2 linked regions of the Arabidopsis thaliana genome follow. The protein of the gene in region 1 interacts with the protein of each later gene in a biochemical or structural test. Each region holds a gene or a part of one and is shown in the gene's direction. Other genes may lie near its edges.

Region 1 (5,943 bases):
ATTATCGAGACATAAATAATAATTTATAGATATATAGCAACAAATTGGAATTAAATTAATCAAACAATGTCATTTAGAATTGGGGAAATCCTAACCGACGTTATATGATTAATTTTAATTCCAATTTATGTATGTGTATATATCTATAAATTATTATTTATATATTGATGATGTTCGTGCATGATGGTAATGGTAACCTTTAAAACTTTTGAATCTCAAAACGTAAAACAACGTCATTTGGTTTGAAGAACATGCCATCTCGACGTACAAGTGTTAGCTGATTCAACAACCGTTACTGTTAATTACCATAACTAACGTTGACTCATAATTATGTACAAAAGTAAGAGTTGAGGTAGATAATTTGAATTTTTTAAATGTTAAAGTATGAACATTACTAATTGTTTGTTCAGATTTATAAAACACAGTACCTATTTTGATGTGTTAAAATGTAATCGGGAAAATAGGAATTTTCCCAAGAAAAAAAAATACACTAAAATTTTGATGTGTTAAAATGTAATAAATACAAGTACCTATTTCTTTCTACAACAGGTATCACATGATCTGCTCAATCTCATTTTGAAGGCAAGGTCGAACCCTGTTTGTAACTAAATATTTTACAAATACACTAAAAGTTTTGTTTTGTTTTCCTCATGCAGAAAAAAGAAAAGAAAGAAGAAGAAAAAAAACTCACAAAAACATACATTGTTCTACAATATGTTAAAGTAATTGTTCTAGGGTAATAAAATCCGTGTCTGCCTCTTCCACTTCAATAGGAAAGTGTAAGTTTTTCGAATCTTTTTGGCCAGATAATTTAAAACCGACCGAGGAAACTTACTTTTGTAAAAGTGACCATTTGCACATAGGAAGTAGAAAGTTGATAATTGGAAAATTTATAATATTTTATACAAAAGAAGTGTTTAAGAACCACCGCTTGGTCTCACCACTCAAATTCGAACGTATGGCTCGTGGGCACAAACTCCTGTACCAACCTTTAGATACTAGCGGCACGAGGAGACTTCTATTTTCTCTTTGTTTTTAAGTTTTTTTATCGACTTAAATATGGCTTTTTGCACCATTTAATTTCAAAACCAATGTCTTTCTCTCGAGGAACTTTGTTTTTATTTCTTAGAAGATGAGGGGAGATTTACTATCTAAATAAAATTTTAAATGTTTGTAAGTATTATGAGCTCAACAATTTTGTCAATAGTGCCACAAATTTAAACGTTTGCTTTTTGTCTTCTTTGAAAAATCAAATGCTGAAAAACTGTTACATCTCTTTTTCTTAAAAACTCTTGTCTCTCTCCTTTTCCTTCTGCTGAGGTAATTGAATGCTGCAAAGAGAAAGAGAATAACTTAAACCCAAAATTACACTTACCGCCAGAAAAAAAAAAGAGTTCAGTTTAATCTAACATATTTTATACAATACAATTGAATTATATTAGTAAAAAAAAAACTTCCATATAAATCATGGAACAAACTGGAACACATGGGCTCTCTTATTTTAATTTATTTTCTTTTTTGAGGGATTTAACCATGTTTATTATATAGTTTTATAAATATATATATACCATCTCTCCATAATTTATAAAATGAAAGAAAGAGAGAGTCTTCTTGTTGGAGTAAACCCAAACGGTTTTAGATTACTTATTAGCTGTTCATCAGTTCTTCCTCTCTAAAAGAGTAAAACCTAAACATCTCTCTCTGTTCTATTAGAACCAAAGACCAATCTTTGTGAACAAAACACATCTCGTATACTTCAGATCTAGACTCGAAAATTTTAGACCTCTTTACAATTGGTCTTTGTTCATCTGAAGTTGGAGAAAATAGTTAGCTTAGGTCGGATCTTTTCATATGCTTTGGATCCTCCTTCGTCTCTTTTGTATAATTTTAACCTTATCAAGAGTTCTTTTTGAATCTCAAAAGATTATATAGTAGTATAGAAGGTTTATATGTATATGTATAGCCAGATAGTTTATGTTGTTTAAAGATTCGATGATAGCCAAGTTGGGTTAACTTTCTTTTTCCTTGCCTCCTTACTCACATACAAACCCTATCTGTCCGTACAAAATACTAAAAACCCTAACTTTTCTCTCTCCACCAATCTAGTTTATTGTTTCATTTCCACTTCAACGATGAAAAGCTTGCATGTGGCGGCCAACGCCGGAGATCTGGCTGAGGATTGTGGAATACTCGGTGGAGACGCTGATGATACTGTTTTGATGGATGGAATTGATGAAGTTGGTAGAGAGATCTGGTTAGATGACCATGGAGGAGATAATAATCATGTTCATGGTCATCAAGATGATGATTTGATTGTTCATCATGACCCTTCAATCTTCTATGGAGATCTCCCAACGCTTCCTGATTTCCCATGCATGTCGTCTTCATCATCGTCTTCAACATCTCCAGCTCCTGTCAACGCAATCGTCTCCTCAGCCTCTTCTTCTTCGGCAGCTTCTTCCTCCACTTCCTCAGCTGCTTCTTGGGCTATATTGAGATCAGATGGAGAAGATCCGACTCCAAACCAAAACCAATACGCATCAGGAAACTGTGACGACTCTTCTGGTGCATTGCAATCCACAGCTTCCATGGAGATTCCATTAGACAGCAGTCAAGGTTTTGGTTGCGGCGAAGGCGGTGGTGATTGCATTGATATGATGGAGACTTTCGGGTACATGGATCTACTTGATAGCAACGAGTTCTTTGACACCTCAGCTATATTTAGCCAAGACGACGACACGCAAAACCCTAACTTGATGGACCAAACCCTTGAGAGACAAGAAGACCAGGTCGTTGTTCCGATGATGGAGAATAACAGTGGTGGAGACATGCAAATGATGAATTCTTCCTTGGAACAGGACGATGATCTCGCTGCTGTGTTTTTGGAGTGGCTAAAGAACAACAAGGAGACTGTGTCGGCTGAGGATTTGAGGAAAGTAAAGATAAAGAAAGCTACGATTGAATCAGCGGCAAGAAGACTAGGCGGTGGTAAAGAAGCGATGAAGCAGCTTTTAAAGCTGATTCTTGAATGGGTCCAAACTAATCACTTACAAAGAAGACGCACCACCACCACCACCACCAACCTCTCTTATCAACAATCATTCCAACAAGATCCATTTCAAAACCCTAACCCTAATAACAACAACCTAATCCCACCGTCCGACCAAACCTGTTTCTCACCTTCAACATGGGTTCCTCCACCACCACAACAACAAGCTTTTGTCTCGGACCCGGGTTTTGGATACATGCCTGCTCCAAACTATCCGCCACAGCCAGAGTTCCTTCCTTTACTTGAATCTCCACCGTCATGGCCACCACCACCACAGTCTGGTCCCATGCCACATCAACAATTCCCCATGCCGCCAACCTCGCAGTATAATCAATTTGGAGATCCAACAGGTTTCAATGGATACAACATGAATCCGTACCAATATCCTTATGTTCCTGCAGGACAAATGAGAGATCAGAGATTACTCCGTTTGTGTTCCTCAGCAACTAAAGAGGCAAGAAAGAAACGGATGGCGAGACAGAGGAGGTTCTTGTCTCATCACCACAGACATAACAACAACAACAACAACAACAACAATAATCAGCAGAACCAAACCCAAATCGGAGAAACCTGTGCCGCGGTGGCTCCACAACTTAACCCCGTGGCCACAACCGCCACGGGAGGGACCTGGATGTATTGGCCTAATGTCCCGGCAGTGCCGCCTCAATTACCGCCAGTGATGGAGACTCAGTTACCTACCATGGACCGAGCTGGCTCAGCTTCTGCTATGCCACGTCAGCAGGTGGTACCAGATCGCCGGCAGGTAGACATGCACAATCATCTTTCTCATTGTTTATTCTTTAATTTAGCAATACTCGAATAGTTTGTGTAATTGCACCACTCGTTTGGTTTGATGAAGAAGCTAAAGATTTTACATGTGTTTTTTTTGATAAAATGTGAATCGGAAGATTATACATTTGCAATGGAAATGAAATGATTTTGATCTTTTTGGTTTGATTTTAGGGATGGAAACCAGAAAAGAATTTGCGGTTTCTCTTGCAGAAAGTCTTGAAGCAAAGCGACGTGGGTAACCTCGGAAGGATCGTTTTGCCAAAAGTAATTTTTCTTCTAATTTCTTGTAGCCTTTGCTTTCCATTTTCTAAAAAAGGTTCAATGTTTGTGTAAAAATATTGTCAAGTTTTTATTTTATTTTTACTCTTATTGGTTAAGTTATATTTTACTGAATTTTTATTTTTTTTAGAAAGAAGCTGAGACACACTTGCCGGAGCTAGAGGCAAGAGACGGCATCTCTCTGGCCATGGAAGACATCGGAACCTCTCGTGTTTGGAACATGCGCTACAGGTAACTGATTATGATGCTAACATGTTAACATTGATTCTTTTTATAAAAACAATTCGTGTATTTTGTCAAAAATTGGAACTCGACCAAAATGTTTTTTCGGTTATTTAATTGTCTTCTTAAATTGGTTTTGCAGGTTTTGGCCTAACAACAAAAGCAGGATGTATCTCCTCGAGAACACCGGTACGTTTTTGAAAATGTACCCGTTAATAATTTTCCTTTCTTTTGGTTTGTTTGTTCTCTTGTAATTATTGTTGTGGACGCATACATATCTAATTTTCCTTGAAATTACGTTTACAGGCGATTTTGTGAAAACCAATGGGCTCCAAGAAGGTGATTTCATAGTCATATACTCCGACGTCAAATGTGGCAAATATGTAAGAGAAGCATCACAATATTTTTCTATACTTTTCATTAGTATTTAACTCTCATCATTACTTTTGTTGGTATTTATCTTGTCATAATTAATTGAGAATAATATTATGACAGTTGATACGAGGGGTTAAAGTAAGACAACCGAGCGGACAAAAGCCGGAGGCCCCACCGTCGTCAGCAGCTACGAAGAGACAAAACAAGTCGCAAAGGAACATAAACAATAACTCTCCGTCGGCGAATGTGGTGGTCGCTTCACCAACTTCTCAAACTGTTAAATGAAAAACAGAGACAAAAAGAAACAATATAAATATTATTATGTACCAAATAAGAAAGAGGGCAAAAGGAAAAAATGGCAGCGTACCCGAGTGTGCCACTTCTCGTGCATGCATGGGATCTTGAAGACAAATGGAGGGTCATGATTAAAGCTGTTTGGTCGGGGTCCGGGTTTTTACTCCATTTTTTGCTTTTTCTTGTCGAGTCGGTTCTTTTATAACTCTTTACTCTTTTTACCTTCAGGATATTGTAGAGATGATTAATTCTGGAAATGGTGTTTGTGTTATATTTCTGGAGAGATGATTATATAGTTCTTTTGTTGTTGTAATTGGTTAATATTACATATGTGGCTCATTTCTTGAGTCGAGCTTACATATCGTTTATAATGTGAATGTTTTAAGAAGAGTTGAATGATACAATATTTTTACACAAACATTGATAATGATAATAAAAATGATAATTAATGTACAAAATTATTTGTAAATATGGACATATGGACAATTTAAGAAGGAATTGAGATAATTAATTTTGTACATTAATTATCATTATCAATGTACAAAATTATTTGTAAATATGGACATATGGACAATTTAATGATAGTAAAAATGATAATTAATGATAATTAATGTACAAAATGATAATTAATGTACATATGGACATATGTACAAAATTATCCATATCATTCACATATTCACATTGTAAATATTTGTAAATAGAATGTTTACATATGGACATTTTAAGAAGAGTTGTTCCTTACCACTTTGATTCTATCATTTTCTTGTTTATCTAGTTAGCTTGAACCCTTTGTATTATTGAGTAACGAAAATCTTTGGAGGAAAAAAACAAGTGAGGTAGGATTATAATTTTCCTCATATAAGTGTGTTGTTTGTGATACATCATTATTCTTTCTTATTTTTGGTTAAACCCAAAAACTGGACCGCACCTAA
Region 2 (4,445 bases), on another chromosome or scaffold:
GTCTTCACAGACTGAGAAATCTGATTCATTGCCTGGTATGTATGATGAAGAGTCAATGTGATGTGAAACATTTTTTTTGTTTCAATGGTCTTTTGTGTTACTTTGTCTAATTCCTTGTTTTTGCAGTTAATGATGGTCTTGAGAGTTCATTTACTGGAATGAAGAAAAAGAAGAAGAAGCCAGTGAGTATTGTTTTACGTTTTGTGCCTAGTATTTTTTTTATGTCATTAAACTTGTGTGTTTGATGATTCTGTGACTCACATTTGTTCTTGTTTGATATTTAGACTGAATCAAGCTTATTGAACAACGAAAGTGTTGATGCTGGGGAAGATTTGGATGGTACTTTTAATATCCTTTTTTTTTGTTTGCTAATATACCTTTTCTCTTGGCGGGGTTTTTATCCTGTTTGAATCTTACTGAGAATATATTGCAGAGATTGCTAATGACGAGCAAGAGGGGGAAGAAGGAATAGTTCTACAGCAACGTTACCCCTGGGAGGGAAGTGAGAGGGATTACATATATGACGAGGTGACTATATTTTCGATGATTTCTTTTGTTTTAATCCTTCATAAATATCTTGCTCCCTTGTTTTTTTGCTGACGGGAGTTATATATGCAGCTTCTTGGTAGAGTCTTTAACATTCTCCGTGAAAATAATCCGGAGCTTGCTGGAGATAGGCGTCGTACAGTTATGAGGCCTCCTCAAGTTCTTCGTGAGGGGACAAAGAAGACTGTCTTTGTCAACTTCATGGACCTTTGCAAGACGTATGAGCTAACTCTTTATCTTCCTCTTCAAACTTTTTCTGTGTAACCATAAGTAATATTACCATTTAATTTTGATGACTTTTCGATGACATGTCTTATCTGCATATAAAAAATCAGGATGCATCGTCAACCAGATCATGTTATGCAATACTTGCTTGCTGAGTTGGGTACTAGTGGTTCGCTTGATGGGCAGCAAAGGTTGGTTGTTAAGGGAAGGTTTGCACCTAAGAATTTTGAAGGAATTTTGCGGCGATATATCAGTAAGTAACTTTCTTCTTAGTCTCAAAATTTAAGTTGCCATAAAAGTATATCAGTTTGGAGTTGTTAACCTCTTGTTTTATTATTTCTCAGCTGACTACGTCATTTGCCTTGGTTGCAAGAGCCCAGACACCATTCTCTCCAAGGAGAACCGTCTCTTCTTTCTGAGATGTGAAAAGGTATAAGTTAATCTAATTAGTCCTGATCTTGATATGCATTCCTTTGTTTCTGTTTTACAGTTTTACTTTCTGCGCAACAAAGTAATAAAGTATTTTGTGTGTTTGAATTTGCTAATGTGATTAACGAGTGGGCTACATGGTTTTTGCAGTGTGGATCTCAACGATCTGTGGCTCCGATCAAAACAGGGTTTGTTGCTCGTGTTAGTCGCAGGAAGACTTGAGAAATTAGAAGGTGAAGTGACCTTGGTATGGAGTTTGGAGCTATTCTACTGCTTCTGTATGAGTTTATGAGTTGAAGAAATACTTGTCTTGTTTTTTTTATTTTGTTTTGGAATATGATTATGACTTGACTTTTAAAATGGGATAGGATCAAAACCTTTTACTCTGTCAGGTTCATGTGGTCACCTTGAAGGTTGATTTAGTAAATCCATGGACTTCTTTTTTGTGTTAAGATTATTCTTAGTTCAAAATTAATAGACTAATGATATTAACGTCCACAGGCATTGCGTTCAACATCTCAAATTAAAGCGTGGAAGGCTCAGAAAGTCCAATATACACTATGTTTATCTACAGTTACAATCATACTACAAAAAACAAATAATGTATACGGTTTGGTCTAATATAGCCGCATACGATTTAGTATTTACCAACAAAAAATTGGTCTCAAACCAAACCGAACAATTGGTAATTAACAATTGTTCTTTTGGTCTTGAACCGAACCAAACCGAACTGAACTATATTAACCGACCGACTTCGTCCTTTCCTCCTGATCAAGAAAACTCGTCTCCTACAAAAATCCCAGAAGACAAGAGATTGGTTCTTCTTTTGCATCATTCTTACAAAATCCCCAAAATCATTCGAAACCCCTGAGTATTCTCCTTAACTCTAAGAAATAAATTTCTGAATGGATGCATCGTCTTCACCGTCTCCTTCCGAGGAAAGCTTGAAGCTTGAGCTTGATGATCTTCAGAAACAGCTGAACAAAAAGCTGAGATTCGAAGCATCCGTTTGTTCTATTCATAATCTTCTCCGTGATCACTACTCTTCTTCCTCTCCTTCTCTCCGCAAACAGGTTGGTTTTTATTCTTAGATTTTCGGATCAATAGATTCAAAATTATTCGGAATTGTTAGGGTTTATGCCTGCCTTGACGTTTACTCATTGCTTATGTCTGATGATGGGTTTAACTTTTGAGGATTGAATCAGGAATCAAATATCTTTCTTTTATTGTTTTTCTATTTCAATTGTGGAGAAAGTTCATGTTCATGTCAAAAATTTCATTTAATCCGATCTGTTTTTGTTTAGTTACCCTCTGTGACATAGTATTGATTTGATTGCCATTGCAGTTCTATATAGTTGTATCTCGTGTCGCTACGGTTCTTAAGACAAGATATACAGCTACTGGATTTTGGGTTGCTGGACTGAGTCTTTTCGAAGAGGCTGAGCGACTTGTCTCTGATGCTTCTGAGAAGAAACATTTGAAATCTTGCGTTGCTCAAGCTAAGGAGCAGTTAAGCGAAGTAGATAATCAGCCAACAGAGAGCTCACAAGGTTTGTGAAACATTTAGTTTGGCTTTTGATGGTTTTAAGTGAAATTTATCTGGAGATGATTTTTATTTCTCTTGTGAATTTTTTGCAGGTTATCTTTTTGAGGGACATCTTACGGTTGATCGTGAGCCGCCACAGCCTCAGTGGCTAGTACAGCAGAATCTCATGTCTGCTTTCGCTTCTATCGTTGGTGGTGAATCCTCTAATGGTCCTACTGAAAACACTATTGGGGAAACTGCTAACTTGATGCAAGAACTTATCAATGGTCTTGACATGATCATTCCAGATGTAATGCCTTCTCTTTTCTTCCTTACTAGTTTTAGATTATGTACTATCACACATAGCTGATATCACAAGTTTCTTCACCTAAAGATAGAGATGAAAGCAATTCTTAATCATCCGCATTCTACTCATATGTTGTTTTTTGCATATTGAGTTTCTCCACTTGGTTGTCTCACTCATCTGTATCAAGAGTGTTTAACCTCAACCTCTAATATTGTATTGGTAGCGTCTTTTTCTTAGCTTCATGATTGAAAAGTGATATATGATGTGTTCTATGCAGATACTAGATGATGGTGGACCACCAAGAGCTCCACCGGCAAGTAAAGAAGTTGTAGAGAAACTCCCAGTCATTATTTTCACCGAGGAATTGCTTAAAAAGTTTGGAGCAGAGGCAGAATGTTGCATCTGCAAGGAGAATCTAGTTATTGGCGACAAGATGCAGGAATTGCCATGCAAGCACACATTTCACCCTCCTTGCCTAAAGCCTTGGCTGGTATAAAAAAAAAAATCCCATTCTTTCAAGCTTACTAGTAAGTAAGAACATAAAGCTTATGCTCATATTGTTTTATGGCAGGACGAGCATAACTCTTGCCCTATATGCCGCCATGAATTACCAACAGACGATCAGAAATACGAAAACTGGAAAGAGAGAGAGAAAGAGGCCGAAGAAGAGAGGAAGGGCGCAGAGAATGCTGTCCGCGGAGGTGAATATATGTACGTTTAAATTTCAATCAGTTATGGCACACTCCCATTGTCTTTCCTTGAAACATCTCCGAATTGTTGTTCATCATTCACAATTATAAATCCCATTTTACATATAGATTCAATGTCTTTTGTATGAAAGCTTATAATAACAACACAGACTTCTTTACTTTACACACAATTGTATCTTGAAGAGATGACAAGTTCAATAACATAACATCAAAGAGTCATTAGTTAGATAGACTCTAGGACAGTGTTACTAACTACAATAGTTTCTTCAGTAGAATTGTAAAATGGCAAACATATCTGACCACTCCCAGACATGGAAACAATCTTCGGTTTGTCTAGCAAACCTATACAGACACTATCATACAACACATTACACACAGCAGCGTACATGATAGATTATCATATTAATTACTATATTGACAAAACGTTTTACTTAGTTTGCTTATAAGCTTAATGTGGAGGTTTGATCTTCTGCTAAGCAGTTGGAAATTCCTCCTTGATAGAGACATTGCCTGTTGGGACATCTGTCTTTTTGAAGTCTGAAGTAGGGTAAGGGTTTTTGTTGACCAATCTGCAGATAAAAAAAAGTGAATGTTATTGTTAGATGCAATATCAAGGTTAAACATTATGATCAATCTGTCTTTACAAGTCTCTCACAGGTACATTAACAAGCTCTGTATTAGTAATCAATCAAAAACTGAATAA

The links. The genes of interacting proteins can lie anywhere in the genome.
Region 2: the proteins of ABI3 (region 1) and AIP2 form a complex in vitro, tested with the Arabidopsis thaliana proteins (2 studies listed by BioGRID, with this or other methods).

What each region holds. Positions count from the first base shown.
Region 1 is NC_003074.8:8,995,779-9,001,721, forward strand, and holds ABI3 (AP2/B3-like transcriptional factor family protein), read left to right. Parts: upstream 1-1,591; 5' UTR 1,592-2,132; coding exon 2,133-3,812; intron 3,813-4,012; coding exon 4,013-4,105; intron 4,106-4,250; coding exon 4,251-4,351; intron 4,352-4,484; coding exon 4,485-4,531; intron 4,532-4,648; coding exon 4,649-4,725; intron 4,726-4,837; coding exon 4,838-5,002; 3' UTR 5,003-5,407; downstream 5,408-5,943. UniProt on the Arabidopsis thaliana protein: Participates in abscisic acid-regulated gene expression during seed development. Regulates the transcription of SGR1 and SGR2 that are involved in leaf and embryo degreening.
Region 2 is NC_003076.8:7,091,971-7,096,415, reverse strand, and holds AIP2 (RING/U-box superfamily protein), read left to right. Parts: upstream 1-1,912; 5' UTR 1,913-2,105; coding exon 2,106-2,273; intron 2,274-2,545; coding exon 2,546-2,750; intron 2,751-2,838; coding exon 2,839-3,035; intron 3,036-3,309; coding exon 3,310-3,522; intron 3,523-3,603; coding exon 3,604-3,753; 3' UTR 3,754-3,904; downstream 3,905-4,445. Other genes in the region: EIF2 BETA (eukaryotic translation initiation factor 2 beta subunit), read left to right, coding at 1-35, 127-182, 285-339, 434-528, 619-764, 882-1,024, 1,116-1,201, 1,351-1,422; JAZ12 (jasmonate-zim-domain protein 12), read right to left, coding at 4,215-4,311. UniProt on the Arabidopsis thaliana protein: E3 ubiquitin-protein ligase that acts as a negative regulator of abscisic acid (ABA) signaling. Mediates ubiquitination and subsequent proteasomal degradation of the transcription factor ABI3.